2 linked regions of the Tamandua tetradactyla genome follow. The protein of the gene in region 1 purifies or fractionates together with the protein of each later gene. This does not show direct contact. Links are inferred from orthologs where the notes say so. Each region holds a gene or a part of one and is shown in the gene's direction. Other genes may lie near its edges.

The links. The genes of interacting proteins can lie anywhere in the genome.
Region 2: the proteins of GSK3A (region 1) and FRAT1 purify together in Homo sapiens (affinity purification with mass spectrometry; 4 studies listed by BioGRID and IntAct, with this or other methods). This does not show direct contact. The link is inferred for Tamandua tetradactyla from reciprocal best matches to the Homo sapiens genes GSK3A and FRAT1.

The regions. Positions count from the first base shown.
Region 1 is NC_135342.1:21,910,204-21,918,289, reverse strand, and holds the start of GSK3A (glycogen synthase kinase-3 alpha), read left to right. Parts: upstream 1-4,521; 5' UTR 4,522-4,664; coding exon 4,665-4,947; intron 4,948-6,694; coding exon 6,695-6,882; intron 6,883-8,086. UniProt on the Homo sapiens protein: Constitutively active protein kinase that acts as a negative regulator in the hormonal control of glucose homeostasis, Wnt signaling and regulation of transcription factors and microtubules, by phosphorylating and inactivating glycogen synthase (GYS1 or GYS2), CTNNB1/beta-catenin, APC and AXIN1.
Region 2 is NC_135339.1:58,635,413-58,642,441, forward strand, and holds FRAT1 (proto-oncogene FRAT1), read left to right. Parts: upstream 1-5,298; 5' UTR 5,299-5,490; coding exon 5,491-6,303; 3' UTR 6,304-6,420; downstream 6,421-7,029. UniProt on the Homo sapiens protein: Positively regulates the Wnt signaling pathway by stabilizing beta-catenin through the association with GSK-3. May play a role in tumor progression and collaborate with PIM1 and MYC in lymphomagenesis.

The DNA.
Region 1 (8,086 bases):
CCTTAACCACCCCACCCCCCAATGCCCTGGAGGTGAGGGCAGCTGCCTCTTCTCTGCCTCCTCCCTCTCCCTGCCCCCCCCCCCATATTTTGTATAAAACTTTAATTTTTTTTTTAATGGTCGGGATGGGTGGGTGCCCAGAACTGGGGACTGTCCCCTGTCTGTGGGTTTCTAAGCTCTGGGCAAGGTGGGGGAGGGAGGAGGACGGGAGGGGGGAGGTTAAGGGGGCCACTGCCGTTCTGGGGATTTTTATTTGAATTGAGGCTCTGGTCTCAATACCCAGGAACTTTTTTATTACAATCGCTTAGGAAGTAAAGCCTTGTCTCCCTCCCTGGCCTCTGCCTCTTGCACCTCTCCCTCTTGCCCCACAACCATTCCCAGTCCCAACCCTGCCTTCCTTGCCCCTCCAGGGGCTGTGAGTGCCTGGGCTTCTCATACCCCACAAGGTAACAGCAGGGGAGGGAGGGACAATTTTATGATGAACCAAAAATTCTGCGTGGTGGGCGGTGGGAAGTGGAAGAGGGTGAGGGGTGCCACCCATGGGCCACAAATCTCTTCAAGTGCCTGCTGTCCTTCTCTCATTCCCCACCCAGCACCGGTCCAACCCCTTCACCTTTAGCTGCTCCTAGGACTGGCCCATGGGCAGGTGGGTGGGGGTGGGGTGGGAATGGGCTGCCCTGAAACCAAACTGGAAGCCCCCTCTGCCTCCCAGCAGGGGCCCCTCGGGTGGGGTGGGGGTGGGGGCTGTGGTCAAGCCTTATTCTGTACTGGGCATGGAGGGTGGTGGGGAGGGAGTGAGGGAGGGGCGGCTGGAGAATGTATTCCAAACAATAAAACTTTGGACCTTTTGATGCGGTCATCTGTCTTAAGTGTGGGGCACAGCCTTTGCTTGATTCTGAAGGACAAGGATCTGGTCTGGGTCCTACCTCCCTACCTGCCCCTGTAGATCTGTGGCCAGAGGGTCTGAGCCCAAATGACTGGGTCAAAACGGCCTGGGAAAAATCTCCTGACCTCAGGGCTACATAAACCTCAGGTCACACTCTGGCCTTAGAGCTGACCACTGCCCCATTCTGTAAAGGACCTGCACTTCCATGAAAGTGCTTTCAACTCTTCATCTCTACCCTGTTGCCCAGGCAGTTTAGATGGCTCGAAATGCCCTTCCCTGGTTCTGTGACTCCTTCCCACATCCCGATTCCCCAAGAGAATCAGAGATGGTTTTTTTGCACTCTCACATTCTAACACCGGCACCCTCCTCTGGGTGTTTCTAAACTAATCTGGGGAGTCCTTTGGAGACATGGCCCACTGTGTTTTGAAATGTAGACCTCGCCAGGAACCCTAATGATCTTTGAGGAACCATGGGAACACCCCAAGCCAGCAACTTGAGAAGGGACTGGCTCAATAATTATAGTTGTCATTGATTGGCCTACTTTGTGCCAAGTACTTAGCTAGAAGCTCCTTCAACAACCAGTGAGGTAGGGACGATGGGCACAGTTAAAACGACTGACACGCTCGAGGCCATGAGGCTGTAGGAAGTTGAGCCAGGACTTCTGTGTACAAACTCCAAGTTCTTTTGACAATGGAGTGCTCCCTGAAGCTAAAATGGTTGGCCCAAGATCAGGGACTCCATCACAGGATCTGAGAGGTGAGCTTGTGAAACTAGAAACAGAGATTGGAGTTCTCTGATAATGGCTAAGAGAATGAGAGTGAGGAATTCAGGCCGGAAGTGCCCTTAGAGAAGAGCCTGACCTCTGTAGTGGAGGTGAGGTGCCTGAGGCTGAGAGGGGGAAGGGATTTCCCTAAAGCCACACACCTGCTAAAAGAAGGTAGGGCTCAGGGGCTGCTGGATTGGTTTCACCATGAAATCCCACCCTGTGTAACCCTGAGGGAGAAAGAACATTGGCTGGGTAACTGCTACCCACTCTTGCTTTGACCTCATCTACTGCCAGCCCAGGGTGGGTGGTCCCAGATCATGGATGGCAATGAAGAGAGGATCCAGGGCTGGGATACTGGCAGGAAACCTAGGCTCCCGTGGTGGCCTGCAGGCAACTGCTCCCTCTCCTGGGTGATGTAAGTCACTCCCTGGGGTGGGGACCACTGGGAGCAGCTTCGCTGGGCTATTTCTGGAAGTTGGGCTGAGGTATGTCTCCTGGCAACACAGATGCAGCTGAGAAGTTGGTGGTGGTGGGTGATGGAGAAAGGGGCATGGCATAATTGGGGGGAAGGATAGGACCCTGACTAGTAGCTTCAGCCTCCAGACCAGGTGCCTTCAAAACAACTCTAACCAAGTCTAACATGGATTCAAAAGTCCTCATCTCCAGAATTGCTCTCCTGTTCAGGCCAGGGTCCAACTAGACTTATTGCTCCAGATTCCGGCTGAGTGGGATGCCACACTGTCTGGCACCTGGCCTCAAAATTCCAGCGGCAACCCCAATCTTTAATGACCCACTTAAATTCATTTGCAGGCCTGAAAAGCTAAGTTCCTGTGAGACCACACCCTTGGTCCCTTCCATGTCTTCCAAGATCTCTGCTTCCAAGTAGAAAGTCCCATCAAAGACCCTGTCACCTCTCTAGGCACCTTCAGGCTACTCACAAACATTTACAGCCTATCTTAGTACCCTTCTTTGAACGTTCTCAGCCCCTATGAATGGCCTGATAGATTTCTTCCTACAGTCGCCCTGAGACTCTCGCGGACCCCAGGCTCTTCGGTGGCGGTTGCCCACGCGCGGCCCACTACGCACTTCCCGCGGATTCTGGCCGTTAAGTAACAGTCTTTACCCTGCCTCGTTCGGGCCATCGGCCTTGTGGGCGCGCAGGTTCGCGTTCCCCAAGCCCTCGGGCTTGGTTCACATTTTTGCTTTTCGACTCAGAGCTGCCGTCAGAGGGCAGCAGGCGCTGCTTGGCTGGGAAACTATAACTCCCAGAAAAAATTGCTCCGAGCTGTGCGTGATAAAGTCGCAAGCAGTGAGAAAGAGCGGAACTGTGGCCGTACTTTGCCTTCTGGATAATGTAGTTCGAAACGGCTCCAGCGCTGCCCCCTGTCCTGTCCCCGGGAACTGTGTCCACTGGGAAATGCACTCAGGAATAGATCGAGTGGACGGAACCTTCTCCCGGCTTCCGAAAGGGCAGGGCTGTATACACTTAGGCTCAGATTAAAGTGAAATCCAGGCTCTTTCCCACCATTTCACGAGGCGGGAGGGGCTGAGAGCGTGTTCATCTCAAGTGTTTCCGGAGGCGGGGTGGGAAGGAGACACAAAAACTCTGTTTCCCAGCGTCCTTTGGAACATTCTCCTTCCTGGTATTAATCGATAAATCGGGTAATTCAATGAATGCACAAAGCTTGATGCTGCTTCTTCCAACCGGCTTCCTTGTCTTGAGCCCTCCCGGATTCCGTAATGTAGGAAGCGGAAGACACAGTCTCTTTTAGCTTTCAGCTTAGACTCCTAGTATGATCCACATTGCTAGAAAGTGCTAGCGTATATACGGAGATTGTGTAGTATTCTGAGACATCGTTGGGAACTTAATTTCCTAGATTCTTTGGGTGGGAGGCGCATTTTTCTTTTTCTTCCCGGAATGTAGACATCTAGAACTTGAAGGAGTGCTGGACTACATTTTCCAGCAGCCCCTGGGAATTACATGTCTTAGTATCTGGGGGTTGGGGAAGAAGGCTGAAACAGGTCTACGATTTCCCAGGGGGTTCTGTTTGTTTGCTTTGTTTTTTTTGCCCACACACTCCTGGTGGTATTCATTGGACTCCATTTCCCGACAAGCCCAGGCAGTCTCGTTTCACCGCAGGTCAGGATCCGGGCTGGACTAGTCCCAGCATGCTTTGGGCTCATGGTAAACCCCTACCCCCTCGGTCGATGGGGAGGCAGCCTTGAACTCCATTTCCCAGAAGCCGCAAAGGCTCGCTGTAGACACATCGCTGAAGCCTTGGTGTCAACTACATTTCCCGGTAGGAACTGCGGCCGAGCGTATGGAGTAGAGGCGAGCCATAGCTATTTCATTTTCTAGCCTATCTCCGGAACTGCAGTAGCCACTGGAGGCTCATGGACCACGTGGGACTCCATCTCCCGGAGTGCCTTGGAACCGCTTTACACCCGCATTGCAGTGGGGGTGTGGCAACGACTCCATTTCCCAGCTTGCCACACGGCGGATTTTTGTGAGCCAACGGGCGTAATTTCCTAGAGTGCACCTAACGCGGGCAGGCATGTATGCCCAACGGACTAAGAGGCTGGACTTCACTTCCGGTTACGCAAGAGGTTTATGTCGCTCCCTGATGGAGCGGTTGCAACTATATTTCTGAGGCACACCTCCGAAACGCCTTGCCGTGGTGGAGTGAGTGTGCCGCTCAGACTCTGTTTCCCAAAGTGCTGTAGGGTCGGCCGTCGGCACAGTCGGCCGACGGAGTACCCAGGACTCCATTTCCCGGCGTGCCAAGCGACTCGCTCTACCGCCCGCAGGCCGAGGGCGGTGACGACTGCGCGCCGGAGAGGCGGACTGCAGCTCCCGGCGTGCCCCGCGGCGGGCGCTGGGCTGGAGCCGGAGCCCGAGCCCGAGCGGCGAGGCCTGGAGGAGGCCGGAGCCCGGGGGAGGCGGCAGCAGCGGCGGCGTCGGGGGCAGCCCGGGCAGCCCGAGCCCCTCAGCCTGGGCCTGCTCTCGGCGCCATGAGCGGCGGCGCGCCTTCGGGGGGCGGCCCCGGGGGCTCGGGCCGGGCGCGAACCAGTTCGTTCGCGGAGCCGGGTGGTGGCGGCGGAGGTGGCGGCGGCGGCCCCGGGGGTTCGGCCTCCGGCCCGGGTGGCAGCGGCGGCGGGAAGGCGTCGGTCGGGGCCATGGGTGGGGGCGTGGGGCCCACGAGCTCCGGGGGTGGCCCCAGCGGCAGCGGCGGAACAAGCAGCGGCGGCCCCGGCGCGGGCACCACCTTCCCGCCGCCTGGAGTGAAGCTGGGCCGTGAGTACTGACGGCGCCCTTGGCGGGTGGAGATACGGGTTCCCGAGGCCCCTCAAATGTCGATCAGTTCTTTTCGTACACCCAGATAGGAACCTGAGGTCACTGTGCCTCCCCAAATTGGTGTGTGAGCTTGCTCCCTTCCGGAGGAATGCGTTTAGGGGGGTACCATCGCTTGGAGTTTAGGATCACAATTACTAACCCTCAAAGAAATAAGGAGTCACAGGTTCTTGTTTTTCCAAAACTTAGATCTTGATCTCTTGAGCCTTAAAAACAGGAATCTGACATTCCATCCCCTAGAGAACAAATTCATTGTTATACTGTCCTCTTACAAAAACAAGATTAAGATCACCACCCCCTTCCACAAAGGGGTCTCAGAATTTGCTCTCCCTCAGAGAAGAGTCAACACCACTTAGAAACAGGGATTTGGGATTATTGTGTCCCCAAATAATAAGACAGAGTTTTTCAAACTTGGTGTCCTGGTTGTCTTCTCTTTTAAAATACAAGGTCTGTTGCCATTGCTCTTTCACAGTTTGTAGAACTGTACCGCCAATGGTGGAAATTAATGGTTACTGTTTCTTAGAAATAAGGACAAGTGTCACCAGTCCTCCAGAAGTGGGATTAAGAGTTACTGTATCCTTCAAGTCCATAGTCACTGCTCTTCAAAAAAAAAAAAATGGTGGGTCTCCACAAAAATGGAATGAAGGGACACAATTCCCCCATAGAGTATGGACCAGAGGTTATAAGTTTCAATAATTATTTTGGGGCATGTGTCATTGATTTTGAAATAAATCACAATGTAGGGTCATCTTCCAAAAGAAAGTGTGATGGCCCTTCAAAGTGAATTAGGGTCAGCAGCTTCATCCAAGAAAAGCAGTGACCATCTCCTAGCAATGGCATGAAGGTTTGCTGCCTTAAGAGAATAGAATTTGGGAATCAGAGTTTAAGGATAGCCTTCTAAGAGTAGAGATTAGGTTCACTATTCTAACAATATGATGCTTCTTGGTTAGGGACCATCCATACAGTGAGGATTGTGGGACTGTGAACCACCCAGATGAGGAGGTCAGATCAGTGCGTTTTCTAACATGAAAGTATTTGAATAAGGGGTAACTTTCCAAAAAGTGAGGTCAGGGCATTACCATTCATGTTAGAAGAGTTCATTTATTCAGTCATCAAGAACCAGTGGTGAAGTTACCTGCTCTACCCAGTAGGACTTAAAGGTCACTATTTGCCAAACTGAGAAACCAAAGGTTAGTGCTTTCCCAGAGTAGGAGTAGCTCAGGGCTCAAGGTTACTGTTCCCTTAAGTGGAAGAGGTTAGGTCAGGCTTCTCCCCAGACAGGAGGGGCCAAAGATCAGTAAGCCCAGAGTGGATAGATTCAACGTGTGTGTGTCTCTGTGTGTCTCTGTGTGTATGTCTGTGTGTGTGTCAGTGTCTCCCCATAGTAAGACCAGTGATTTGTGGCTTACTGGAAATTGGGGTTAACTAGTCCTTGAACTGCAAAACAGTTTAGGTGTCAATATCTTCATGTACAGGAGGAGGCAGAATTAAGGTTTACATGAAGGGGAGAGGGGAAAGGTCACTGGGAGAGCTCCAGCATCCACCTTTCTCACGGAGAGAGAAGGGACAGAGGTCACACACAGATCTCTTTTCCCCTCTCCCCTCAAAGCTCTGGGGGGTGGTGGTGGTGGTGGTGGTTAATGTTCAGAGGGGAAAGGTTAGTCAATTGTGTGTCCCTTTTGTCCCCCAGGTGACAGCGGGAAGGTGACCACAGTGGTAGCCACCCTAGGCCAGGGCCCAGAGTGCTCCCAGGAGGTGGCTTACACAGACATCAAAGTGATTGGCAATGGCTCCTTTGGGGTCGTGTACCAGGCACGGCTGGCTGAGACTGGGGAGCTGGTGGCCATCAAGAAGGTTCTCCAGGACAAAAGGTTCAAGGTAACTTGGGGGAAATGGGGACAAGGAGGTTTGGGGACAAGGAAGTTTGGGGACTGGGCATTACTGGTGAGAGAGCCCCAGCATGATAGCTGAGAGCTTGGGATTTCAGAGGGGGCTCTGAGCATGGCCCAGAGAAGGGAAGGAAATGAAATGTGTAGAAGAGAAAAAAGTGGGATCCAGGAGTCCAAAAAGAGTCCAAAGCGCAGTTTCATTCTTTCATTCTGCTTTACAGGGTCTCTTGTTTAATTTACATAAAAATTCTCTAAGGATTAAGGTTTGGTACTATATAGTTACTCCTATTCTAAGTAAGAGGAAATTGAGACTCAGATAAGAGAATTGCCTGAGGTCAAAACTAGAACATGGCCTGTGATTCCCAAGCCCTGCATCCTAACCACTAGATAACATCCCCCTCCCAGCCGACAGAGAAAGGAAATTGGCAGGGCTGTTGCTGATGTTTATGAAGATCCTGAAGGCTGCGCTCTGCCCCAGGTTGTTTGGCGATATAGGGTGAAATCTAGTTCTCTGCCCCCTACTCACAAACCATGCGCTTCGGTGCAGGTCTCTGTCACCTTGAGAAAGGGATACCCTTTTGTCATTCATACAAAGATGTTCTATGAGCTAGTGGAGACCCAGGGAACTAGAAGAACATGGAAGAGATGGAAGTCAGGGATGAGGGCTATTTGAAGTACTGGCATTTTGGAATCTAAGCTAGTCTGGATATAGGAGAAGTGAGTCTAGCCTGGAAGTGGACCCAGGTCAGGGCCTGGGTCTTAGTAGTGAGAATTCTTGGGCAGGAGGAGTTCCAGGTGTCAGCCAGAACTTCATTAGAGTTGAATCCTAGAATGAGGGGGTCAGGGGTTCTTAGCACACACACCCCACCCCCAAGGGAATAGAGGGGAGGAAGAAGCTCAGACCAGGTCTCCTGGGAGGAGTCTAAGGCTTGGGCTCCTTTGAGAAGGTAAGGATTAGAAGCCTGGAGTCAGATACAAGCAAAGGGTTCAAAGCCCCAGAAGCCTCCATGGGAAGCAATAGGGAGTGGTGGGAACCAGAGTGAATCGGATGGTCACTATTTGTCTCCTGTTGCTTGAGCTAATGCAGGGAGGCAAACCCTATGGGACCAGATCCCATTTTTCAAGAGAAGGTGTTTTTGTTTGTTTGTTTGTTTTTTAATGTAAAGTCTTTTGAGTTTTAAATGTCAGCAATA
Region 2 (7,029 bases), on another chromosome or scaffold:
GCTTCCCTTGTAGCAATCAACTCCTTCTTTGAAACCCAGTGTCTCAGGAATTGGTCATTTGAGTGCATCGGGCAGAGAACCCACTGCTCTTGATCAGCATCACAACCATTACCACTTTCTAACTCCAGAACACTTCCATCATCTCAAAAAGAAATTCCACCCCTCTTAGCATTTAGTCTCAACCCCCCTCCCCCAATCCCAAAGAATTCTATTCTTTTTAGCAGTTAGTCTCAATCCTCCTCCCCCATTCCCTGGCAACCACTGATAATACTTTCTGTCTTTATGGATTTGCCTATTCTAGGCATTTCAAATAAATTGAATCATACAGCATGTGGCCTTTAATGTCTGGCTTCTTTTACTTAGCATAACGTTTTCAAGGTTTGTTCATGTTGTAGCATGTATCAGTACTTCATTCTTCTTGAAGAATAATATTTCACTGTATGGATAGATCACATTTTCTTTATATATTCATTAGTTGCTGGGTATTCCAATTGTTCATTTCTATTTTGGGGCTGTTACAAGTAATGCTGCTGGTTGACATTTATGTACAAGCTTGTACAGACATATATTTTCAAATCTCTTGAAGATATACCTAGGAGTGGAACTGCTGTATTATATACTAATATTAACATTTTATTACACTTGCTCTATCATATATCTACCCATCTAACCATGCTTCTGTCCATACATTGATCTACCTTCATTTTTGGGTACTTATATAGTACCTAACTTAATATCTTGGTGAACAGTCCTCTTCAAATAAAGTCATTATATGTAATCACACTCAAAAAAATGCACAGTATCTCACCACTAAATTTCTCATGTCTATTATTAACTAGAATTCAGTATCTGTTTATAGTTTTTTCTTTTCATATAAAATTTATATGTAATGAAATCGTGAGTGTACCAGTCAATGAGTTTTGGCACATGCATACACCTGTGAATCCCTAATCCCTATCAAGATAAAGAGTATTATCAGGACCACCTCAAGTCCCCTCAGGCCTCTTCCCAGCCAGTCGCTGCCCCTGCTCCTGCCCCCACCTTCTCCAAAGACAATCAAGTCTTCTGATTTTTCCACCAAAAACTAGTTTGCCCTGTTCTAGAACTTCATATATAAAGAATCATGTGGGGTGGGCCACAGTGGCTCAGCAGGCCTGCCATGCCAGAGGACCCAGGTTCGATTCCCGGTGCCTGCCCATGTTAAATAAATAAATAAATAAATAAAATTAAAATAAAGAATCACGTGTGTGAAGGACTGAATCGTATGCTTCAGCTGGGACATGCTCTTGGTCTTGGTTCTCATTCTGGTGGGTGTAGACCCATTGTAAATAAAATTAAAAAAAAAAGATGTTGTTTCAGTTAAACTATGGCCTACCTGAATCAGGTTGTACTTTAATCTGGATTATTGGAGTCCTTTATAAACAGAGTGAAAGTTAGACAGACAGAAGCCACAGGGAGTAGCCAGAAGCTGAAAGTCAACAGAACCAGGAAGAGACACAAAACACTGCCATGTGCAGTGCCACGTGCCCAAAAGTTAAGAACCAAAGATCGCCCACTGTCAGCTCCAGAATGCCACCATCTTCTGGTAGAAAGTATCACCTAACACTTCAATTTTGGACTTTTCCTAGCCACAAAACTGTGAGCCAATAAATGCCCAGTATTTAAGTCAACCCATTTACGGTATTTGCTTTAGCATCTATACAACTAAAAACAACATGTTGGTCTCTTTTTTGTGGTGCCTCGGAGGCAATTGGTTGCCTCAGTATGAAGTTGAGCATCTCCTTGCCAACCACTGGCTACCAGAAGCTCACTGAAGTGGACAATGAACACCAACTCCACACCTTTTATGAGAAGTGAATGGCCACAGAAGTTGCTGCTGACCCTCTGGGTGATGAGTGGAAGGGTTATGTCATCGAATCACTGGTGGAAATGACAAACAAGATTTCCCCATGAAGCAGGGTGTCTTGACCCATGGTTGTGTCCGCCTTTTACTGAGTAAGGGGCATTCCTGTTATAGACCAAGAAGAACTGGAGAAAGAAAGCGCAAATCTGTTCAGAGTTGCATTGGAGATGCCAATCTGAGTGTTCTCAACTTGGTTATTGTAACAAAAGGAGAGAAGGAAATTCCTGGACAGACTGATACTACTGTGCCTCGTCGCCTGGGGCCCAAAAGAGCCAGAAAAATCCGCAAACTTTTCAATGTCTCTAAAGAAGATGATATCTGCCAGTATGTAGTGAGAAAGTCCCTGAACAAAGAAGGTAAGAGACCCAGGACCAAAGCACCCAAGATTCAGCATCTTGTTACTCCACCCCGTCCTACAACATAAACGTCAGTGTATTGCCCTGAAAAAACAGGATACTAAGAACAATAAGGAAGAGTCTGCAGAATATGCTGAACTTTTGGCCAAGAGGATGAAGGAGGCCAAAGAAAAATGCAGGAACAGATTGTCAAGAGACGGATGCTGTCCTCTCTGAGAGCTTCTACCTCTAAGTCTGAGTCCAGTCAAAAATAAGATTTTCTGAGAGTTGCAAATAAATAAGATCAGAGATTAAAAAACAAACAAAAAAACCCCATGGTATATGCCCTTTTTTGTCTGACTTCTTTCACTTAGCATAGTGTTTTCGAGATTCATCCATGTTTAAATGATTCATTTTTGTTGCTGTAGCTCTTTTTCGTTTGTGAATAGTATTCCTTGGTTAGCATCCTATAATTTGATTTTCTATCCATCTATTGATGAACATTTGGGCTTCTTCCAGTTTTTGGCTTTTATGAATAAAGCTGCTAGTGATCATCTACCTATAAGCCTTAATGTGGACCGATATTTTGTATTCCCTTTGTTAAAATATCTAGGATTGGAATTGTGTGTTATAAGGTAGGTGTATGTTTACTTTCAGAAGAAACTGTCCAATCTTCTTCCAAAGTAGTTGTACCGTTTCTCATCCCCAAGACAAAGTATGAGTATGAGGCTTGTGAATTTTGAAACAAAGAATAAAAACACAAATTGTTAATTGCTACTAACTAGTTTCTTCTTAAATTTTTACATAATCAGGTTCAGAATATTATAATTAATAAATGGCTGTCTTACTGTACCTTCAAATGACCTATGATTTAAAATGAGGTGAGGACTCTTTCATGATAAAAAAAACACTCAACAAAGCAGGAATAAAAGGTGTTTCGGTTTTCTAAAGCTGCCAGAATGCAATACACCAGAAATTATGGCTTTTACAATGGGGATTTATTAGTTTACAAAATAGTTTTAAGGCCATAAAAATATCCCAATTAAGGCATCAACAGGATACCTTCTCTGAAGAAATACCACTGGCCTCAGGGTTCCTCTGTTGGATAGCAAGGCACTGGCTGGCATCTGCTTGTCCTTTGCTCCAGAGTTTTGTTGTTTTCAGCTCCTCGTTCCAGTGGCCTCCTCTCTGAGCTTCTGCAGGTTATCTCTGAGTTTCTCTGGGGCTTTTCTGTATGAGCTCTCTTGGTGTTTCTCTAGGAGCTCTCTGGGCTTTTTCTGTCTTTTGTCCTCTCACAAAGGACTCCAGTAAAAGGATGAAGACCACCTTGAATGGGCTGGGTCACATCTCAATTGAAATAACCTAACCAAAAGTTCTGACCCACAATAGGTCTAGCACCCACAGGAATGGGTTAAAAAAAACATGGCCTTTTCTGGGGTACACAACAGCTTCAAAACAGCACAGAAGGGAACTTCTTCAACCTGATAGAGATCATTCAAGAAAAACCCACAGCTAATATACTTAATGGTGAAAGAATGAATGCTTTCCCCTAACAATCAGGAACCAGACAAGAATGTCCACTCTGATCACTTCTATTCAACATCGTTCTAGGGGTTCTAGCCAGGGCAATTAGGCAAGAAAAATAAAAGGCATCCAGATTGGAAAGGGAGATGTAAAACCAACTCTAGTGCAGATGGCATGATCTTGTATACAGAAAATCCTAAGGAACCCACTAAAGTGAGAGGAAAAATTTTATGACACTCTGAAGAAGCCAGATTATCTGGCTTTAGAAATTCAATGGCTTTCTTCATACTGCCTCTTACTCTATTTCCACATCCCTCTGCACTTGACAAAACTAAACCTAGTTCTTTTAAAGCCAATTCTTCTACCTCTTCTCTCCTCCCCACCCACCCATTTTTAAAAATTGCTCCTGTAATTGTCATCCTCAGCACCATCCACCAAAACCCTTGTTTTCTTAACTGTATCCCCAGGCTCAGTCTCTTCCTTTTGCACCCCTCTTTTTAAATCTTGACACTCTCCTGCTCAATACTTTAAAGTAGGCTTCCCACTGCCAAACTCCTAGTTAGTTTCTGTGTGTTTGTGTCTGTGTGTCTTTTGTGGCTAATTTTTGAAACAACTTATTGATTAACATATCATAAAATTCACTCATTTTAAATGTACATTCAACGATTTTTTGTACATTTACTGAATTTGGCAACCACCATCATAATCCAATTTAAGAATATTTCCATCACCCTGATAATATCCCTCAATAATTTGTCTTAAAAAAAAAAAGTCTACCTCAAGTTGGGTGTTTATAGGTTAAACCTGCGGGGTTTAGGATTTTTAAATAAATGTCCAAAGCCTCCCGGCAACGTGAGGCTAAAGGATCGTTTTCTGCTTCTCCCCTACTGGGCTGAGGCATTCCAGCTAACACACCCTCCCAGCTCACACCTCCTCTCTCCAGTTAGGCCAGCCCTAGACCAGGACCCCCACACCCAGCCTCCTGAGAAGAAAAACCATTTATCTGTGTCCTTTCTTTGCCATCTCCAACTCCGCCTCTCCCACTCACACCACAATATCGCTTCTTTCGCTCCATCCCGGTCAACTTCGGGTTTCCTCACCTCCAGTCGGGCCCCTAGGCTGACTCCCTCTCCTCTCCATCCTCTCCTCCCCAGCACTCCACGCCGCCACTCCCCAGACACCTCCAATCCGGATCTCCAGAGCTGCAAGCTGAAACCAGAAGAGCCGGCGCGCTGAGACGAAGGCTGTGTAAGTGTGCGGGTGTAAGTGTGCGTGCCTGTGTGTGGAAGAAACCAACAGAGTCCGGGCTGGTGTCCATGTTTTGAAAATACTCATCACTTGGGCTGAGGGAATAAGGAACAGCTCCCCGGTGCGCCGCGACTCAGAGCCCTCAGTGGTCGGGAACGCAGAAGCAGCAAGACTTCCCGGTGGACGCCCGCCGTGGGGGGAACCCGCCCCTCAACTGGCGCAGCACCCCCCAGCCCCGACGCGGTGGTAGGACCCGGCGCCGACGTCACCCATTGTTTACAAATCAACCCGAGCCGGTAGGATTCGGCTCCCGCCGCTACTAGCGCGCGGCTCTACTGCCCGGCGGTCTCCGGTTTCCGCATCGGCTCCGGCCGGGGCTTGGGTCTCAGGACCGCCCCTCTACTGCGGCCCACCTAGCCCCAAGGAGGGTCAAGCAGCCAGCGACGCCCGCAGAGCTCCGCGGTGCCCGGGCGGGAGGCCATGCCGTGCCGGAGGGAGGAGGAAGAGGAAGCCGGCGAGGAAGCAGAGGGGGAGGAGGAGGAGGAGGAGGAGGACAGCTTCCTCCTGCTGGAGCAGTCGGTGACGCTGGGCGGCTCGGGCGAGGTGGACCGGCTGGTGGCCCAGATCGGCGAGGCGCTGCAGCTGGATGCGGCTCAGGACAGCCCGGCCTCCCCGTGCGCGCCCCCGGGGCCGCCGCTGCACCCCCCGCGGCCCCCCACCTTGCCGCTGCTTCTGCCACTCGCGTCCGCGGAGGCCACGGGCCTGGCGCCCCCCGGGGCCCTGCGCTGCGCTGTAGGGGACCGCGGCCGCGTGCGAGGTCGGACTGCGCCCTACTGCGTGGCGGAGCTCGCGGTGGGTCCCAGCGCACTGGCCCCATTACCCTTCCAGCCTGGCCTTGATGGACCAACCGGAGCGAGCAAGGGGAGTGCTCCGCAGACGCTGTCGGGCCCGTGCCGGCGAGGATGGCTCCGAGGCGCCGCCGCATCCCGCCGCCTCCAGCAAAGACGCGGCCCCCAACCCGAAGCCGGCACAGGCGATGACGACCCGCATAGTCTCCTGCAGCAGCTTGTGCTCTCAGGCAACCTCATCAAGGAGGCGGTGCGAAGACTGCACTCACGACGGCTGCAGTTACACACAAAGCTTCCCCAGCGTCCGCCGCTGGGACCTTTGTCGGCCCCAGTGCACGAGCCCCCTTCACCTCGCAGCCCTCTCGAGGCCTGCAGTGACCCGTGTGCCTCTGGCAGGAGGGTGCAGCTCAGAACTGCAGACAGCATTCTCGTACCCGGCAGCTAGCACTCCGGTGGTAGCCACAGTCCGGCCTTTTACTTGGAGGCAAGGGGTACCCTGAGGGCTGTAAGCCCTGCTTGAGACCGACAGAGAACTTCGCGCCTTTGGAAAAGGGGGGGGGGGGGGGGGGGAAGGTATTGAAGAAAGGAATTCAAAAATCGCGAACGTTTCGCGGAGAACTGGAGTGAAGGCCCCCAATGTGATTGAGATAACCTGTCTTGGCCCTATTTAAGGCAAATTGCATTTCGCACCCCAGACTCAGTCAGTAGGACTCCTTATTTGGCGTGTCCCGTCTTGGCCCCACAGAGTGCAGTTCCCCGCAGCCTCACAGGGCCCTTCAGCCGGGTCGCCATGTGGCTAACAGTCCACGCTTCTCAGGCCCGCAGTCTCCAAAGGAGACCGCCCAGAACCCGGGCTTAAGCTGGTGGATAATCCAGTTACTTGATTTACCTTTTCTGGGCTGGCTCCTGATCCATTTGGAGGGGCGGGGACGGGGAACGAGATACATGAGTGGACGATGATTTCAGGGAGCACTGCAAACTGCCAGAGTTGAAAATTTATGACACTTTAAAAAACTCCAGCTCATATCTTTTGGAGTGCTGGCTCTTAATAGAAAACACACGGTACCACTAAAGGAAGCTTTTGGAGTTGAACAGGAAAAACTTTTCTCTTTGCCTCTTTGCTTTGCAACTGGCTACTGATTTCAGAGCCGTCGGGGAGGCTGTAGTTCTG